3 linked regions of the Caenorhabditis elegans genome follow. The protein of the gene in region 1 purifies or fractionates together with the protein of each later gene. This does not show direct contact. Each region holds a gene or a part of one and is shown in the gene's direction. Other genes may lie near its edges. The genes, in order: rsd-6, C47B2.2 and W07G4.2.

Region 1 (8,581 bases):
TATTTTCCTTCTATTTTTCAATGGAATTACCTCGTTTTAGAGAATTGAAATTGTGAAAAAAAATCGGATTTAAATCAGTGACAGGTACTTTGAAAACTGATTTAGACCATCCATAACCTTTTTTGCGCGCCGAGACCCATTTGAAAGAATCAGTGCGCCTTTAAGAGGAAATGTCAAAATCTAGTGGTATTACAATACCGATGTTGGAAAGTGATATCCAGAAATAGTTCTGGTTATACAAAAAATCTCGTTTTGCAAAATTTTTTTGTAAAAGTAGATTTTCAGATGACAAAATGCTCGGATGAAAGTGAAAGAATCGGAATGGGAATGATTTGTGAATCGTTAAACTCTGAAGCAGTCGATTATGAGATGTTCGAATCGCTTTGCAATACTATTCTGACGTATGTTGTAGCAAACAGAAACTTTTAATTTCAGAAACAAATTGCAGACCAACATCGTCAGATGCAAAGTGGGCACTTGCTAGACAACAAACTGTATTTGCACTTAATCGGATTTCAGTGAATTCATCAACTGAAACATTTAATCGAATTGGGCAAAAATGTTTTGAGACATTGTACAAGGCTATGACAGATTATACAACAAGTGCAAATGGAGATATTGGACGATTTGTGAGTTTGAAAAGAAGGAAAAACTCTTATCTTATTCGTTAATGTTATAATTATAAAAGTACATTAGCGAGATTAAAAGTATTTTGAGCGTTCAGTCCTGGAATTTCCTCCTGATTTTTTTGTACTGTTATATAAAGTTTGAGAATTTTTCAAAAACAATTATAAACGCATATTTTCGAGCTATATAGAGCTATCTTTTAAAGTAGTACAAAATTATCGCTTCCACCATTCTGCGCTACATTCTAATTTTGTGCCTATTTCAGGTTCGGGAAGCCAGTATGCGTGCCATGTCAACAATTTTGGTTGATGCGAAAACGGAGCCACCATTCCTAGATGAACATGTCATCAAATCTGCAAAATATATGGTTCAACAGAGTGCAGAACGAATTTCACGAACTAGAGAGGTACGGCTGCCTTAAAGTTTAGAATATCCACAAAATTTGCTCATTTTCAGTGTGCCTGTGCCTGCCTGAAATCGCTCGTCAAATGCGAAATAACGGGTCGCTGTCTTCCACATATTGATCTTCTCATGAACATTTATTCAGAGCCAATGGATTTTATATCCGATCGAACTGTTTTTCAGTTGAAACCTCTTTTAGATCTTGGATCCGAGTATTATGAACAATTAATATTGGGTATTGTTGTATCAGCAGGTGGATTGGCAGAAGGAACTCAGAAAACTGCAAAGCAATTGCTTTTAGATCATCAAAGAGAAATTTGTGAGAATAAACCGGTGAGTTTTTGTGAAAATAAATAAATCTCTAACATTTCAAAGATGCAACAAAATTTTATGTGATTTTAGAAACTCGTTTGTTTTTATTCACATTGGCAGAGTTTTTTCTGAGTTATCTCAAATTTTGTCTAAACAATTTTTAATGATAATTTAGTTAACTCTATTCGTATTAATTCAGAGATTCGATCATTTTCTATCGACATGTGCTGATCTTTTTCAACGAGCTCGTAAAGTGAACCGAATTGGGAACAGTTTCATGCAAATTCTACCACAAATATTTGGAAATCTTGGAATTTATGAACAATGTCCAGAAACGTCTGAATCAATTATTGAGATGGTGGATACAATGAAAACAATCGCAGTTAGATCATCAATGATGTCACGTCAGAGGCTATCGATTGATTCACTTGGAGAATTGTTGAATTGTGGGAAGAAAAGTACAGTATACAGATCTGCATTAACTATGGTATGTGACAGAAGTCGAGGTTTTTGTCGAACTATAACCCATAATTTCTTTTTTCAGATCCTTGACACTCTTAACAGCCAACAACCAGTTCTTCGTAAATCTGCCGCCGAGAGACTCTACGAGCATCTTTGCTGTGCCGAGGAATCAGATGATGAAGTATTAGAGGTTCTTGCTACAACAAATTGGCAGGATGAAAATGATAATGTACTGAAACAGGCAGTCGCTGGAATTTCAGAAAAATTGATATTTTAATTGTGATCCTATAACGCTTGTTGACATATTTTTCAATTTTATCGCTTCGTCTAGTTTATCTTTTTACTTTTTAATTTTATTCAAATTTTTGATATTTTACCACTCAGAATTTGATACTTCACAGTGATTCGCGTTTCGTCTTCGCCAATTTACAACTGACAGGACAGACACAAAAATCATTCATTGCGTGTTATTTATGCGGCATTTTGGCTCTTATTATCTATTGATCTCATTTTGTGTTCAAACCCAATGAAATATATATATTGCTTGTTTAATTCATAATTTTTTGTTTGTCTAAGAACTGTTTGCAACAGATTCATTATATATTTTTTTTTCATTAATGTTTCCAAAGGACACTTTTTCAGCAGGTTTCTAACTCGACATGAATGAAAAAGAGCTGGCGGATTCTGTTTTTGGAGGTCTCATGGCTAAGGCCATGGGAAAGATGGTACATGAGAGCGAAATCTGCCCTCTTGTCGAGTATGATTTTATTTTTTTTAAATTATTCCGATGCAAAATATTTTGAAAAATGTGCTCTAAAAATACGATTACCTGTCCCGACGCGATCGATTTTATTCAAATATTTTCTAATTACAAAAGAGTGTGCGGCTGTCACTCAAATAAAAGTTTTTTTGGATTCAAAACTTTGGAACAAAAAATAATTTTTTAAAAATTTATCGCTTCTGAACTTGGGCCAATTTTATTTTTGTTTTTCTGTCAGAAAGAACAAAACAGGATATCCCTGTTGATAACGTCAATACTGCTCTTTTGCATAATGAAAAGCAATCGTGTCGAGACCTCGGTCCGTATTTTTAAGACGAAAATCACAAAATTTCCGCATCTGGATAATACCAAAGTTATTGAATCTTTTCTGCAGAAAGGAAATTTGGAATTTTCAGCCAAATCGAAGGAAAAGGTCAAACAAACGAAGAACTGCAAGGATTGAGATTGAGTCTCAGTGATTTGCTCTTACGTCATCCCGATAAGTTCATAAATTGTGGAAATAGAAATTGGAGACTTAATCAAAACAATCATGCTTTCCAACAGTTAGCCGAATCGATTAGTGATAAGAAATCGGGAAAAGGTGGAAAACGTTCGGCGAGAGGTGGATCAAATCTTCCAAGTTTCAATCGAGCACGTAGTGGTGGAATTCCAAGAAATCACAATCAAACGCATGGATTTAGACAAAGTTAGCATTATCCTTAACGGTTTTTTGCAATTATTTTCGGAATAATTATTCTTAATCTATTTGAAATAATGAACTTTTTTAGGTGCACCGGCTCACCGTGGTCATCATCGTCCACCAGCAGGCAATCATGGATCATCATTCCGTCCAAATCTGAATATTTCACAACCTAATCCATCAAATGATTATTCGAAAATGACAGGCCTTCATTATCCTGTTTCCAGAAACGTGCTGGCGTCGAACAACGGCTCGAATAGCAGATTGTAAGCTTTTTTACTGTGGCGGCTCCAGAACTAGCGATCAGAGAATTTTGCAAAGCCGCGGTGCTGTTTTCTTCAGAATTTTATTTTGAAAATCTGTTATTTTCCAGGCGTTTTCTACCTTTTTGTATTTTTTCCTAACGCAGAGAAATTAATTTTTCCAAACGGATTTCCGTATTTTTCGCGTTTTTGGCAAAAAAATTCTTGAAAAAAACGAAAAATTCTTGAAAACTGGCGAACTGACCCCTTAATAAGGATATATATTTCAAAAAAATAAAAATATATATAAATTAAATCTGTACCCCTTCAGAGGTGTTCAAAAATTATCTAAAAAATTCACGTAGTGTCCGTTCTTCTGAAAATTGACTGAGCGTTTCAAAACTCTTCTTATTCGATAAATTTCACAATTTATCAGCTCAAACCAACCACCTCGACGAGAAGATCATCATGAGAAGATGATCATGAGGACACCATATAGAGACCCTTCTCCACGACGCGGAAACAATTATGGAGACATAAGAGGACGTCCAGACTCTCGTGATGGATATAATGGTGATAGAGGTTGGATATTTATTTATTAAATTGTTAACCGAAAAATGATTTCAGTTTTATTTATAATGTTTTCATATCTTCTTAAAATATTTTTAAAAGTGTATTTTACTGAAAATCATAAAAGTCTTCAAACATTTTGTTCATGTCAAAAAATTTATGAAAAATTGAAAAATCCGCAGAAATGGAAGTCTAAAATTACGATACTATTTAAAGGCGCACACTTTTTATTTTAATTTTCCAGATTCGACTCGTTACTCTTCGCCACGCCGCAATGAGCAACCAGGAAGACCGTCTTCTCGTGGATCGAATATTTCCGATTACTCACAATTCTCCAGTGACACAAATGCAGAATCAAATACAGAACGACGTTCTCGTCCAGATGCTTCATCACCTGATCTTGCTGATCTTGCTCGGAGATTCAATTCGTCGTCTATCAATGTACAACCACAACCATTGGAATCAGTAGCCTCTAGTGATGTTTTATCAAAGAAGATTGCAAAGGCCGTTCGGAAGATCATGAAAAAACTAAACGAAGGCGAAAAATTGTCACTGGAAAATTTATTCGACGAAATAGAAAGGAAGAACAAAATTTTGTAAGATTTTTTTGAAATCAACAGATAATAATAAATTTCTTGTAGAATACCTGGAAAGAACGGTAAGGAGAAGGAAGACTTCTTGAAGGATCTCAAGAAAATAATGCCTAAATTGCTTTCCGCTTTGACTATTGACACTGAAACCGTAAGTTTTTCAACGGCTAGCATGAAATTCTAAAAAACTTGATTAAGATCCGAACGAAAATTAGCGTAAAGTGGAAAAATTGCTTAAAAAAATTTTTTTCGTACGAAAATAATAAAATGTGTAGGGCTTTTTGTATAGGGCTTAGGGCGTCTGTTTATAAATTTTACGTTTTTCCAAAAATTCGACAAAAATAAGATTTTCCGAGAAATAGCTCAACATTTTTTAAAAGATTTACATTAAGCGTTACTATTAATGAAAACTCTGGAAACTTTTGGAAATTAATATGATTTTCCAATATAAATATATTTCAGGGCGACCTGACTTGGAACGAGGCAGCAGTTACCACAGATTCACCAATTCATGAATATATGGAAGATGACCTTCATTATTATGTTGTTGATTACGTCAAAATGTTGGATAAGGCTCGATTTAGAGTCACTGATGAAGCTGAAAGATTGTCGAATGCTACTGGAGTCAGAATGGAACGTACTTGTGAAAAACTGACATATGTATTATTCATCACATTCGAAGGAGAATATCGTTATGCGTCGGGGAGTAAGACTGGTAATTCAATTTTATTATTACGAAAACATTAAATTCTGCGAATGCGTATTGCACAGTGTATCTGACGCGCAAAATATCTCGTAGCGAAAACTACAGTAATTATTAAAAATTACTACTGTAGCACGGATGTCGATTTACATGTTCGAAAGTGAATACCGTATTTCCTCTATTAGTCTTGCATGCAAGACTAATTTTCAATCAACCCGTAGGGGTGCAGGACTATTAGAGGCTGCAAGACTAATTTTCGAAAGCCCAATAACTTTGGAAAAGTTACCAAGTTTTGCTGAAAACTTAACTTTATACCGTTTAAGCCATGAATAAGCATTCCTTTTCAATATTTCATAAGTTATTTAATCACTTTCAAGTTCAATTTATCTAAAAATAAAAAATTTTTGAAGTTTCCTCATAGTATAGCTGGCCAGGATAAAACTGGGGTTCAAGACTAATAGAGAAAATACGGTATCTTTTCGAATTGTGACAGCGAAATTTTATTCTCCTGTAATGTTTGTAGTTTTTTGTCAACTGGAGGCTGTTTTAAAATGTTTCATCAATAAATGATAAAAACAATACAAAATCGGACCAGCGCTTCAGTAATCACCTGAAGGATTACTGTAGTTTACGCTACGAGATATTTTGCGCGATACGCATTTTCAGAATTCAGTGTTCCCGTATATGCAAATATCTAAAGAAATTAATTTTCAGAAGTGCTCAAGATTTCAAAAATCACAACTGTCGGCGATGCACCTGAATTCTATCAAACTTCTTTTGAACATAAAATCTTTGAAAATGTACCGGCAAATGCACTTGTCAAGTGTGGAATTGTTCGATATCAAAATGTTCAAAAGTTTGCAGTCCGTCCTGAGGAGTATATAAAACCATATGAAAAGATGAATCAAGAGATTCAGTGAGTTTTACTCTTACTCTTCAAGTACATTATTTTCTGATTAAAACGTTGCTCAACTGTGACTCCCTGAAATTTCGATCGAAAATATTAAAATTAATTGATTTCGCTACTTTCAAGTTATTCCGAGTCGCTCCAAAACTGGACATTCTCAGACTTTTGATGATGTTCAGGAATGGGCTCATATATGTATTTAAAATCATCGAAAATCTACGAAAATCCACTCTTGGAACATCTCTACTTTTAATCAGAATTCAATATTTTTAATTTCAGAGACTTCATGTCTCAAATTCGAAATGAAAAGAGCGTGCCATTTGAAATGTGGAGACCAAATCATGCGTGTTTAGTACAATTGAATGATTCAACAACTATTCTCAAATGGAGTCGTGCCATGATCATAAAAATAGAGACGCAGGTAATAAATAGATTGTATAGGTTTCGATTTTCTCATCCGTTTACTTTCAGCTCATTTTTCTGTTCATTCTGGACAGTGGATTCCGAAAAGTTGTACCAAGTTCCGATTTGAGATTAATGCCGCAAAAGTTTGCAAAACTACCACCATTTGCAATTCCTTGCACTCTCGATGAATCAGAGGATGACAAGGATAATATTGAATTTGGTGGAAAGGAATATTTATCCAATGGTCCTGGAAATCTCAGTGTTACTTGCAGCGGAGCCGCAACAGCCTCTGTAAGGGTTTTTAATCATTTAGGTGTACCATTATTTTTAATAAAATTTCCGTTAAGTTGCCAAAATTTAATTGAGACGTTGGGATTTAGCTTTAAATGAAAGAAAAACAACTTTAATTTTTTGGAAGTACTCCATTAAAAAACAATTTTTTTTCAATTTTGCTAAAATGGAAGAATGTGCCAATTATTGTTCAACTCCGGCGCAAATAAATAAAAAAAAACCTAATTTTGGCTTTTTTGCGTTTTCTGACTAATTCAAAAATAGGCTTAATCGATAGTTTTTTCCTGTAAATTTGAAAAACGGTGTTACAAATTAAATATCGGAGAAAATGTCTAGAATCCCCGATGAATCTATCTAGAAAACGCAAAAATCTCAAAATTAGAGCACTAAAGATTATAATTTTTTACACAATTATATTTTGTCATTACAGTACATTTTCCATCAATTAAAGCAATCCCCACTAGACTGTATACTCCACGTTTGAAACTTTCAAAGAATGGAAAAAATAAATTTTTAAAATTTCAGGACGGGATCCTCACATATCCAATAAAGTTATTCTCTACATGCCACGGTGGACCCTTGACGAATATCAAAGACGTCTTTATCTGAACTTCAAATCATGTTTCTATCTAAATGTTGTCGTAGAAACGGACCGAAACACTCATTTCACAAATTTCTTTACTTTTTTGCCGAAACGATGTTTCAAGACTTCGAGATTTTTTTTGTTTTATGCCCGTTTTCTACTGTTGTGGTGTTATGTACGATCATCTATGATTCCTGTCAAAAATGCAGAATTCCCCCATTTTTTCCCAACTAACGTTTTTCTATTTGTTTTGATCCCATACTTTTCCTTATAGTAGTTTGGAATGTATATCCGAATTTCAGAAATTCCGTCTAAAAGCTGCAACGTTTCTGCCCATCGCTCAACTTGCTTTCTGTTCACCCTTTCACTCTCAAAGGACATTTCGAAACTCCATACCGTTATTCCTTTTCTTAACCCCCTTCTCACACAAATGCTGAGCCCATTGTTCTGACCGTTTTTTCTTCAATTCTTGGAAGTATAAACTTTTTGAGTATTTATTCACATCAAACAATATACATGAGATAACATAAGTAAGAAATATAGAGGTTCTGAGATCAGGTTAAATCGGTAAATCTAGACAAAAATGTAAAGTTCATAATTTCGCAGTTTTCTGAAACGCGTATTTAGAGGCGCACGGATATATTCGGAAAGGTCTGGCCACGAGAAAAGTTAGGAAAGTCCGACTAAAAAACGTTCAGTTCCCGTTTATTCATTTTCCTGTAGTACGTTTCTATAAATATCTCATGTCCAACGTTTTTGTTTTTTGAAAAACGGCCCCGAAAAGATCGAAAAATACAACTATAAACTCTTGTTTCGCGGCGAGATCCATCCAAATGAACCCTTGTGCCTTTAAGAAGGTTTCTCAGAAAATTGCGAAAAATATAATGAATAAAATTGTCTGTCTTAAAATGTTTGAATATCCTAATATTCTTCATCATTTGGATCGAATGAATCAACTCCAACTTCTTCATAATCTTTTTCCAATGCAGCCATATCTTCTCTTGCTTCAGAGAATTCACCTTCTTCC
Region 2 (5,363 bases), 4.6 Mb from region 1:
ACTCCTTTGCACTCATTTCAATCCGCTCTCCACTGGCGCCCCGCTATTTCGTCATCATTTTTTTGCAATCGATGACTTGTCCACCGCGGTGTCCGATGTTGGGCTATGTTGAGAGAGCGCGCGCGCTCGTGCGTTCTCGGCCCTATTTGGGCTCACTTTCGTCTCTGCTCTCACCGCAATCGTTTCGTTCTCATATAACAATTGTCTTTCTCTTTTAAAACTTTATAATTTTCTTTTTCAGAAAAGAAAATGCGTGAGGTCATCTCTATCCACGTCGGACAAGCCGGAGTCCAAATCGGAAACGCCTGCTGGGAGCTCTACTGCCTCGAGCACGGAATCCAGCCCGATGGAACCATGCCAACTCAATCAACGAACGAGGGAGAGTCGTTCACCACTTTCTTCTCAGACACCGGATCCGGCCGTTACGTTCCAAGATCCATCTTCGTCGATCTCGAGCCAACTGTCGTTGACGAGATTCGCACTGGAACCTACAAGAAGCTCTTCCATCCAGAGCAGATGATCACCGGAAAGGAAGACGCCGCTAACAACTACGCTCGTGGACACTACACCGTCGGAAAGGAGCTCATCGACACCGTCCTCGACAGGATCCGTCGTCTCGCTGATAACTGCAGTGGACTCCAAGGATTCTTCGTCTTCCACTCCTTCGGAGGAGGTACCGGATCCGGATTCACTTCGCTTCTTATGGAACGTCTTTCCGTCGACTACGGAAAGAAGTCCAAGCTCGAGTTCTCCATCTACCCAGCTCCACAGGTCTCAACCGCCGTCGTTGAGCCATACAACTCGATCCTCACCACCCATACCACCTTGGAGCACTCCGACTGCGCCTTCATGGTCGATAACGAGGCCATCTACGACATCTGCCGCAGAAACTTGGATGTTGAGCGACCAAGCTACACCAACCTCAACAGAATCATCTCCCAGGTTTGTTGAGCTCAATTTGATTGTTGTATTCTAATGTTCTCTTTTTACAGGTTGTCTCCTCAATCACTGCTTCCTTGAGATTCGATGGAGCCCTCAACGTTGATCTCAACGAGTTCCAGACCAACTTGGTGCCATACCCAAGAATTCACTTCCCATTGGCCGCCTACACTCCACTCATCTCTGCTGAGAAGGCCTACCACGAGGCTCTGTCCGTCAGCGACATCACCAATAGCTGCTTCGAGCCGGCTAACCAGATGGTCAAGTGTGATCCACGTCACGGAAAGTACATGGCTGTGTGCCTCTTGTACAGAGGAGACGTCGTTCCAAAGGACGTTAACACCGCCATCGCTGCAATCAAGACCAAGAGAACCATCCAATTCGTCGATTGGTGCCCAACCGGATTCAAGGTCGGAATCAACTACCAGCCACCAACTGTTGTGCCAGGAGGTGATCTTGCCAAGGTGCCACGCGCCGTCTGCATGCTCTCCAACACTACCGCCATCGCTGAGGCCTGGTCTCGTCTCGACTACAAGTTCGACTTGATGTACGCCAAGCGTGCCTTCGTCCACTGGTATGTTGCCCGTTAAACTATACTTTTCAAATATTCAATGTGTTTCTTTTCAGGTACGTCGGAGAAGGTATGGAGGAAGGAGAGTTCACCGAGGCTCGTGAGGACTTGGCTGCTCTCGAGAAGGACTACGAAGAGGTCGGAGCTGACTCCAACGAGGGAGGAGAAGAGGAGGGAGAGGAGTACTAGATGCTCCCACAATCAACTGCCTGGCGATTGACTTTTAATTTATTACTGCAGTTCGATCGTCATAAACAATGTATTATGAAGTATTTTATTTATATAATGTTTTTTGTTAAAAAGAGAAAGAATGAAAGTCGGAACACTTTACGTTTATACCGAGTTGAGTGCCGCAGAGCAAACATGTACAAGCCGACAGTATTTGAGCAGCAGACGCTTGTTCTGCTCATCGATCAGTATTAGATTACAGAAATGGCTGGGCATGTGAATGGAACATGTGCTCCAGTGATTCCAAAGGTTGGTGATGAGGAAGACGGTGTCGGGCAGTTGGTGGCAAATCTGAAAGAGAAGGGAACAAATTTTGTTCTTTTGAAGAAGACTCCACAGATACTTGAATTGCAGACAATTTTGAAAGATAGGTATGAAGTTTGACTGGGAATAGACTGAAGCCTCAAACATTTTATGGGTGAAAATTTAAAGAAAGGGGCTGAAAACTCATATTTCCAAGCTCTTTTTCCAGATTTTGCGGAAAAATTAACGATTTTCGGTATTTTTGCCGGAAAAACTTGTTGATTTTAAATAAACTCCTTTTTTGCCTTAAAAAGCGATTTTCTTGGAATTTAGATTTTAAAAATCCGTTAATTCACAAATTTTCGGGTCAGAAACGGCATTTTAAGCGATTTTGCCAGTAAATTAGGAGAAAAATAGAAAACGTTTTCATTTTTTGGCCTTTTTGCCGTGAAATTAACTGAAATTTTGATTAAAAAACGTTTTTTTTTGTTAGAAAACATGAATATATTTATTTATATAAATGAATTTTTCAAGGATTTTCTCGGATTTTGAGTCAAAATTCCGATATTTTCATAAATTTCCGGGTCCGAAACGGTATTTTTCGTGATTTCCTCGCAATTTTAGAAGTTTTCCTTGTAAAAATTGGTTGAGGCTCAGAGAATCTTGTAGTTTGTAGTTTGTAGCCCCATAGCCTCAACCATCTTCCAATTTCCAGATCAACAAATCACTCGGATTTCGTATTCAACGCGGATCGTCTGATGCGGCTTGTAATTGAAGAATGTCTCAATCATCTTCCATTCACTGAGCACACAGTTACCACACCAACAGGCTTCAAATATGAAGGAATTCAATTTAATCGTGGAAATTGTGGAGTATCGTTGTGTAGAAGTGGAGAGGCGATGGAAGTTTCATTGAGACAGTGTTGTCGGTGTATTCGAATTGGAAAAATTCTGATTGGTACGGGAAATTGAGGATATCGAGAGGAATTTGGGAAATTTCCTAGAAAAGGCGAAGAAAATTGAGAAATATAGAAGAAAATGGCGAAAAATCACCAAAATCATTGCGATTTTCATCAATTTCTCCCTGAAATTACCTGGAATCTCTTATAAATGCAGATTTCTGCTTGAAAAATGGAAAAATCTGGTGAATATCCAGTTTTTATAGATTTTCTCCTGAATACCCCTCAAAATCTGTGAAAAGTCTGACTTTTCCTTCAAAAATACCTCTAATTCGTAGAGAAACTCGTTTTTTCAGCCGAAAAATGTTTTTTTTTTTAAATCTGTAATAAATATGTACTGTTCTTATGGTAAAATTCCTGAAAAATATATTAAAAATATATATAATAGTAAAATTTGCGTTTTTACCCAGAAAAGTGGTAGAAATCGTGAGTTTTACTGAGTTTGTCGAAAACTGGCGATACTTTTTTAAAAGAAAAACCTCAAAACTCGCAAAATTTCCAATTTTCATCCACTTTTTGTTACAGGCGACGAACAAAAAGTGCTCTACGCCAGGCTTCTTCCGGATATCACGTCGCGTCGAGTTCTACTGCTCTACCCAACGATAGGGTACGCTCAGAGACTACAAACTACAAAAAATATCTGGCCGAAATAAATTTGATTGAAAAATCTGAGAAAAAAAACACAAAATTTAATGTCAAAAAATCGATTTTCCCGGCGAAAAATCGTAAAATTCAATAATTTGTTTGACGTAGAAACTTTAAAAATGTCGATCACTAAAACTTCCCCAGAAGGCGAAAAATTGTCTAAAAAATTGAGTTTTTTTTTGTGCAAAAAAAATCTTTTTTTGAAATTTTTTTAACTGAAGAAACATTTAAATTTAAAAAATCACATTTTTATCAAAATTTCCAATTTTTCAGATCTGGGACGACAGTTTGCAAGGCAATTGAAGTCCTAAAAGAGGCACGTGTCCCAGATGAGAATATCTACTTGGTTTCCCTATTCATCTCACCGACTGGACTCAAGAATATAACCAGAAAGTACCCGTATATCACTGTCGTCGCCTCCGATATCACATCTCTCTATCCAAATCATTTCTCAACCAGCTATTTTGGTGCTGTCTAGACTAGTTTTGTGTAGTTTGTAGCCTTTTGACACTACAAACTACATCGTTTCCGTTTCAAATGCAGTATTTTTATTCACTTTTCTCACTTGATCATCTCTTCATTTCTCGTTATTGGTTTGTAGTTTGTAGTTATTGTAGTCTTCTTTTTTACTTTTTCACTGTTGATTTCCCCTATTTTTTTTTGACAAAATGTTCATTGAATTTCCGCATAACTAAATTCTTTTGTGTTGTTTTCGGTTCATTAAACATTATTTTAAGATGCAATGACTACGGTAGTCATTTTCTGAGTACATGGTGTGCGTACAGGGCGCTATATTTTACGCGCAAAGTTGAGAGTGAGATTTTTCCTCATTTTTTGGATTTTCACTGCAAATTTAAGAAATTTTACGAAAATAAACGTTTTATTTCAAATTCTATTTGCTACTTTGCATGCAAATTGTTTTTTTTTCATTATATTCTGAAAATAAAATAAGTTAAAATTAGCCGTTTCAAAAAAAGTTTCCGAAACTACGGTAGTTCTCGGAGTACGCAACTTGCGTACCGGGCATCTCATTTGACGCACAGAATTCCTAGTTTATTGTTTTTGGATTTTCAAAATTTCAAACATAGTTTTTGCATTTTTCCTGTCGTTTTTGTGATTTTTATTTGTGAAAATTTATTAGACAGAAAAGAAATTTTCAGTTTTCACGAAATTTACTGGAAAATTTGTTATTTTACCGTTAGGTAACGTATTTTACAAAGATATTTCACTTTATCCGTATTTTCTTATTGTTTTCTTCACTTCAAACGATTGAAAACTGAATCAATCAAATAAATTTCCTATTTTTCAGGTAATTTGTCAAAATGACTGGCTCATCTCGTGGAATTGTCGAAATGACAAAGAAACTGGATCGATTAAATTGTTAGTGTTAAAATGAAATTTGCATCGGATTCAGTTTAAAATTTGCTTATTTTCAGATCGAAGAAAAGACCACTTACGCTTTTAAGCATGCCAGTTGATGTTATGGAGAAAGTTATGAAGAAAGTGGATCCATACGATTGGTATCAAATTTTGAATGTTAGGCAAATGTTAAAAAAAAACCAAATGAGTTTCAGGATTTCCGTCCGCAATTCCAATCGAAATCTTCGAGATTTCGTCGACAGCCAGCACCTCAAATTGGACATTGATGTTTCTATTGAGGGCACTTTTCACACCATTGATATCAATGGAAATCAATCCTTCGGACCTTTCCATCCGGTCGTGGCTGATGATGAAAGAAGAACCATCTACAATAAAAGACTACAGTTTGCTCTCAGAAAA
Region 3 (4,786 bases), on another chromosome or scaffold:
TAATTAAAACTGTTTTATTCGACCCCATTTGTATCAAATCCTAACAAGGGAAGTCTTTGAGGAGGTCCGTAGATTTGGGGTTCTCATGCTAAAATTCCTACAGAAGAGTGTTAGTTATGATCTCTCCAAAAAATTTAGCTGCCCCGGTCAAGTTTCAGCAAAGTTATGACGTTTTGAAATTTCAGTTAAAAACACCATTGAAATCCACTGTCTTACCATGCAATCCACGCAAATCTCAGCTTGCGTGACCACCGAAAATGTGACACCCACCACATTGAGTTGAAAAATGTCCTCGGTGGCCGAGTTGGGAGTGCGCGCGTCTGATAAGATTTAGGCTTTGGTTCGATTCCTTCTATTTTTGAAATATTTTTGTAAGTTGAATAAAGTTTTAAACAACCTATTCAAACATTTTTGCGCCTTTTTAAAGTGATTTTATTCTTATTCGGGAACCTAGAATCATTGTCCGCACTTTTTGGAAATTTTTATTTTTTTCATTTTTGCTCAAAATTTCTTGATCAACTCCAAGCAAAAAAATCAAAAAATTTCATTTTTCTAAACAATTATGAAATTGCTATGTTGTTGTTCAGAAATGTATGAAACGTACATTACACAAGTTTTAACTCTCTATTCGCAAGTAAACCGTCGAAATGATCTACATCTCACGAACTTTGTGCAAAATATTTAACCAACTTTGAAGTTGCATAACTTCGTTGAGATAAATTATTGTGAAAAATGATCAACTAACAAAATGTTTGTTGAATAACAGTGAACAAAGTTTTAGTTATAAACTTTTTGATACCTTCAGCCACCAAAAAGTTGTGACCGTTTTCCAAAACACAATGTTAATAGAAAAACTAGCCAAATGCCAACCTTGTTTTCTTCTTTGTAGCTGGAGGTATCAAAAAGTTTATAACTAAAACTTTGTTCACTGTTATTCAACAAACATTTTGTTAGTTGATCATTTTTCACAATAATTTATCTCAATGAAGTTATGCAACTTCAAAGTTGGTTAAATATTTTGCACAAAGTTCGTGAGATGTAGATCATTTCGACGGTTTACTTGCGAATAGAGAGTTAAAACTTGTGTAATGTACGTTTCATACATTTCTGAACAACAACATAGCAATTTCATAATTGTTTAGAAAAATGAAATTTTTTGATTTTTTTGCTTGGAGTTGATCAAGAAATTTTGAGCAAAAATGAAAAAAATAAAAATTTCCAAAAAGTGCGGACAATGATTCTAGGTTCCCGAATAAGAATAAAATCACTTTAAAAATGCGCAAAAATGTTTGAATGAGTTGTTTTACAACTTTATTCAACTTACAAAAATAGAAGGAATCGAACCAAAGCTTAAATCTTATCAGACGCGCGCACTCCCAACTCGGCCACCGAGGACATTTTTCAACTCAATGTTGTGGGTGTCACATTTTCGGTGGTCACGCAAGCTGAGATTTGCGTGGACTGCATGGTAAGACAGTGGATTTCAATGGTGTTTTTAACTGAATTTTCAAAACGTCATAACTTTGCTGAAACTTGACCGGGGCAGCTAAATTTTTTGGAGAGATCATAACTAACACTCTTCTGTAGGAATTTTAGCATGAGAACCCCAAATCTACGGACCCCCTCAAAGACTTCCCTTGTAAGTACATCAAACAATTTCCTGTGATTCTATCCATTAACGTATTCTATTCATGTTTTTCTTTCTTTTTCTCATTTCCTTCGCTTCCAAACAAAAATTGCTCGCATTTCATGTTCTTTCTTTTCAAAAAAATTATGATGGTTAAAATAAAACTTTAAAAAATGTACACTTGGTTTTACTATTGAATCGTCGGACCCATGCTGTGTTGCTGTGGTGCAAAAGGTAATTTTTGACACTAACAAAAGTTTAGGCAAGTAGGTAGGCATGAGATAGGCTCGTAGGCAAATATGGGAAGGTACGTAGGCAGACTTGAGGTATGTTTGAAAACAAAATTACACTTGATGTTCTTTTGGGACAAAAATGTGCAGCCCATACATGTTGGACTCATGCTGTGATTCGATGTATTGGAAAGGGATCACATCAATTACGAAACATCGAAACATGCATTTTGTAACTACTCCTGTTTCATCTCTTCTTCTTTCAGCTTTACTAAATGACCGAAATTCAACCACCAACACCCTCACTTCTTACGAAAATGTTCAAAACTCGGTTATTTGTAATTTTTCTGATATTAACTGGTAGGGTAATAGGAACATTCAAAAGTTCAAACTTCCAATTACAGTAATAATTCTATCTACAAATGTTTGCAATAGAACTACGTTACCAATGTAAGTCCAAACACCGATAATTATTTCAAGACACAATAAAAAAAGACATAAATATAGGTAGGCTTGAGGTAGGCACATAGACAGATAAGAGGTATGTAGAGGGGCAGGGAAGCGCTTGGTGCGTAGATAAAGTGGGAAGGTTTGAAGTAGGCATGAGGCGGAAGCGTACTACCGAATAGGTGTTTGTCTATTTAACCCAGAAATTTGGCCTTATTCTATAAAACTGTAGACATTTTCAAATGTTTCAGAACTTCAGAGTATTTCACCAATTCTAATAAAAACAAGAAATATCTTTCAAGCAGGCTCGCAGCAGGAATGAGATTAGGTATTTGAAAAAAATCATAAAATTTAAAGAAATAAGTTTCAGGAAATCACATTTTTGAAATGGCTGCTTTATTGGGAATGTCAAGGCAGCTACATCGTAAATCCTTGTTCTTTGTGGAAGATAAAACTTATTTGAATATGTTGAACAAAGTGAAAGAAGCTATTCCTGGATTGATAGATCAATTTGAAATTGTTTATGGAACGGTTTGTTTAAAAATAATATATAGTTGAATTTGAAAATTGTTAAGGTTCCACCACCAACACAATTCATCAACTTCAATTCACGATGTTGTGTCTACGTGGAACCAACGATTCTTGAAAATAATGAAGATCAGTATTTACATTTAGCTGGATACTATTATCAGGTTCTAATGACATTATTGCTATTATAAATCTAAAATTTAGTCTTGGAAGTATTTCCCTTCAATGCAACATGAACTAATCAAATATTTGAAGCCAAATGTAAAAAGTGAATTCGGAAAGTTGCCAAGATCAAAAAATAACTCCTACATGTTAGTTTCCGCTCAACTTTTTATCGTAGATTAAACACTTATTAGAATTTGTGCACACACACGAAGAGGAGACTTTGTATGGGGTGATTTTGCTGCATCGGATCCGACTTTTGTCAGACGGGCGGTTGAGTTTATTGAAAAGAAAAGTATATAATTTTTGAAAAAAATCATTTAAAAAACAACTGAAACATTTTTTAGAAGCCCTAGAAAATTTAAAATCTCGCATTGTCTTATTTGGAGATGATTTCAAGTTTATGAAATCCATTTTCAAATATTCGATTCTCCAAGGTTCAAACACAAGACACTTCATATCTCATAACTCTCCATCCGATGATTTGATTTATTCAAGAGATCACTGTGATACGGTTTTAATAAGTGGTATGAATTAAATATCAAATTGAAATTGTATACATATGATTCAGCTCCTCACTCAACATTTGGCTGGTGGATGGGATATTTCTCTAAAGGAAATGAGGTTTTCTATATGGATATAAGAGAAACCAATGATTTCAGTTTTGTCAGTAAATAGCCGTACATGAAACTATAACATGTAAAATTTCAGAGAATTGGAGAGCTGAGCCCATATGATTATTTTATGCCGAATTGGACACCACTAAAGTTTTCTTGTGATAATTTAACGATTGTTGAAAGTGTCAGATAGTTTTGAAAAGTTTTTTCTATCCGAAAGTTTAGCTTTACAAATCCCAGAACTTCACCGCATTTTCCACTTCAATGAATCGTTTACAATATGAAGCTTGACAGTTGTTATGACCATTAGAGTAGACTAAATTGACCTAATTTCTACTAACTTGTAATATAAAAAGGAAAACAGCTAGAAAGTATTCATAAAAATGAAATTCGTTCTACTTTTGGTATCACTTTTTGGAATTGCAAAATGTCGATTAATGTGTGGAATTGATCCAATTCTAACAAATTGGATGGAGATTTCGATCAAATTGGACTGTCCCGCCATTTTAGGTAAGTGATCAGCAAGAGTGAACCCTTGTAAGTGAGCAATATTTTCAGAACAACATCGAACTTGTTGCCTCGCCCATGGTTGGTGTTATGTATATAAAAAGGCAACAATGGAAGCATGTAATAATGAATATTGTCGTTGTGTTAGTGTTCTCGCAAATGAAGGTGTTTGTAAGGTACTATCAACTGAACTATCTTCAACTTTAAAACTAAGTTAATGTTTTCAGACTCATTCTGATAACTTCTGTATGAATGTGAGAAACATGGGACCAATGCTCTGGCCGACAATCAATGAAAATGGAATGGCTTTTTGAGTTTTTCTTGATAATGTTGGAAGTTATAACAATTCAATGTAATAAAATAATTTATTTGAAAATTGTATTAGTTTTGCAATAATAATAATTAGCCGATGTCATCTAAACTCGATTCCATCCTCCATTGTTTCCCCAGTGATTTTGCTGATAGTTGAATCCACTTTGCTGTCCGCTAATTTCTCCGTGATTCACATTATAACCACTGTGAAATCCTTCTTGATATCCTCCATGATATCCATTGTTATATCCGTGATGATCTCCGTGATAAACATCATGTCCTCCGTGATATCCATGAAATTGGTGGTCAAACTTCGGTCTGCGATGACGACGGTGATGATGTTCATTTGATTCGGA

What was found.
Region 2: the proteins of rsd-6 (region 1) and C47B2.2 fractionate together in Caenorhabditis elegans (co-fractionation; one large-scale study listed by BioGRID). This does not show direct contact.
Region 3: the proteins of rsd-6 (region 1) and W07G4.2 fractionate together in Caenorhabditis elegans (co-fractionation; one large-scale study listed by BioGRID). This does not show direct contact.

The regions. Positions count from the first base shown.
Region 1 is NC_003279.8:8,357,723-8,366,303, reverse strand, and holds rsd-6 (Tudor domain-containing protein), read left to right. Parts: upstream 1-2,445; 5' UTR 2,446-2,462; coding exon 2,463-2,560; intron 2,561-2,979; coding exon 2,980-3,269; intron 3,270-3,351; coding exon 3,352-3,529; intron 3,530-3,941; coding exon 3,942-4,087; intron 4,088-4,319; coding exon 4,320-4,671; intron 4,672-4,716; coding exon 4,717-4,816; intron 4,817-5,127; coding exon 5,128-5,380; intron 5,381-6,082; coding exon 6,083-6,284; intron 6,285-6,554; coding exon 6,555-6,696; intron 6,697-6,746; coding exon 6,747-6,971; intron 6,972-7,496; coding exon 7,497-7,580; 3' UTR 7,581-8,050; downstream 8,051-8,581. Other genes in the region: tbcd-1 (Tubulin-specific chaperone D), read left to right, coding at 286-401, 449-629, 893-1,033, 1,084-1,362, 1,541-1,828, 1,886-2,080; tba-5 (Tubulin alpha chain), read right to left, coding at 8,476-8,581.
Region 2 is NC_003279.8:12,961,150-12,966,512, reverse strand, and holds C47B2.2 (Phosphoribosyltransferase domain-containing protein), read left to right. Parts: upstream 1-1,933; 5' UTR 1,934-1,942; coding exon 1,943-2,109; intron 2,110-2,696; coding exon 2,697-2,938; intron 2,939-3,464; coding exon 3,465-3,546; intron 3,547-3,857; coding exon 3,858-4,062; 3' UTR 4,063-4,471; downstream 4,472-5,363. Other genes in the region: tba-2 (Tubulin alpha-2 chain), read left to right, coding at 250-942, 993-1,513, 1,567-1,699; fbxa-140 (F-box domain-containing protein), read left to right, coding at 5,052-5,104, 5,159-5,363.
Region 3 is NC_003283.11:13,033,913-13,038,698, reverse strand, and holds W07G4.2 (L-Fucosyltransferase), read left to right. Parts: upstream 1-2,132; coding exon 2,133-2,217; intron 2,218-2,261; coding exon 2,262-2,307; intron 2,308-2,555; coding exon 2,556-2,632; intron 2,633-2,674; coding exon 2,675-2,835; intron 2,836-2,879; coding exon 2,880-2,996; intron 2,997-3,036; coding exon 3,037-3,143; intron 3,144-3,188; coding exon 3,189-3,289; intron 3,290-3,341; coding exon 3,342-3,521; intron 3,522-3,565; coding exon 3,566-3,660; intron 3,661-3,705; coding exon 3,706-3,804; downstream 3,805-4,786. Other genes in the region: W07G4.7 (Secretory peptide), read left to right, coding at 3,995-4,121, 4,170-4,294, 4,346-4,432; W07G4.1 (FIP (Fungus-Induced Protein) Related), read right to left, coding at 4,535-4,786.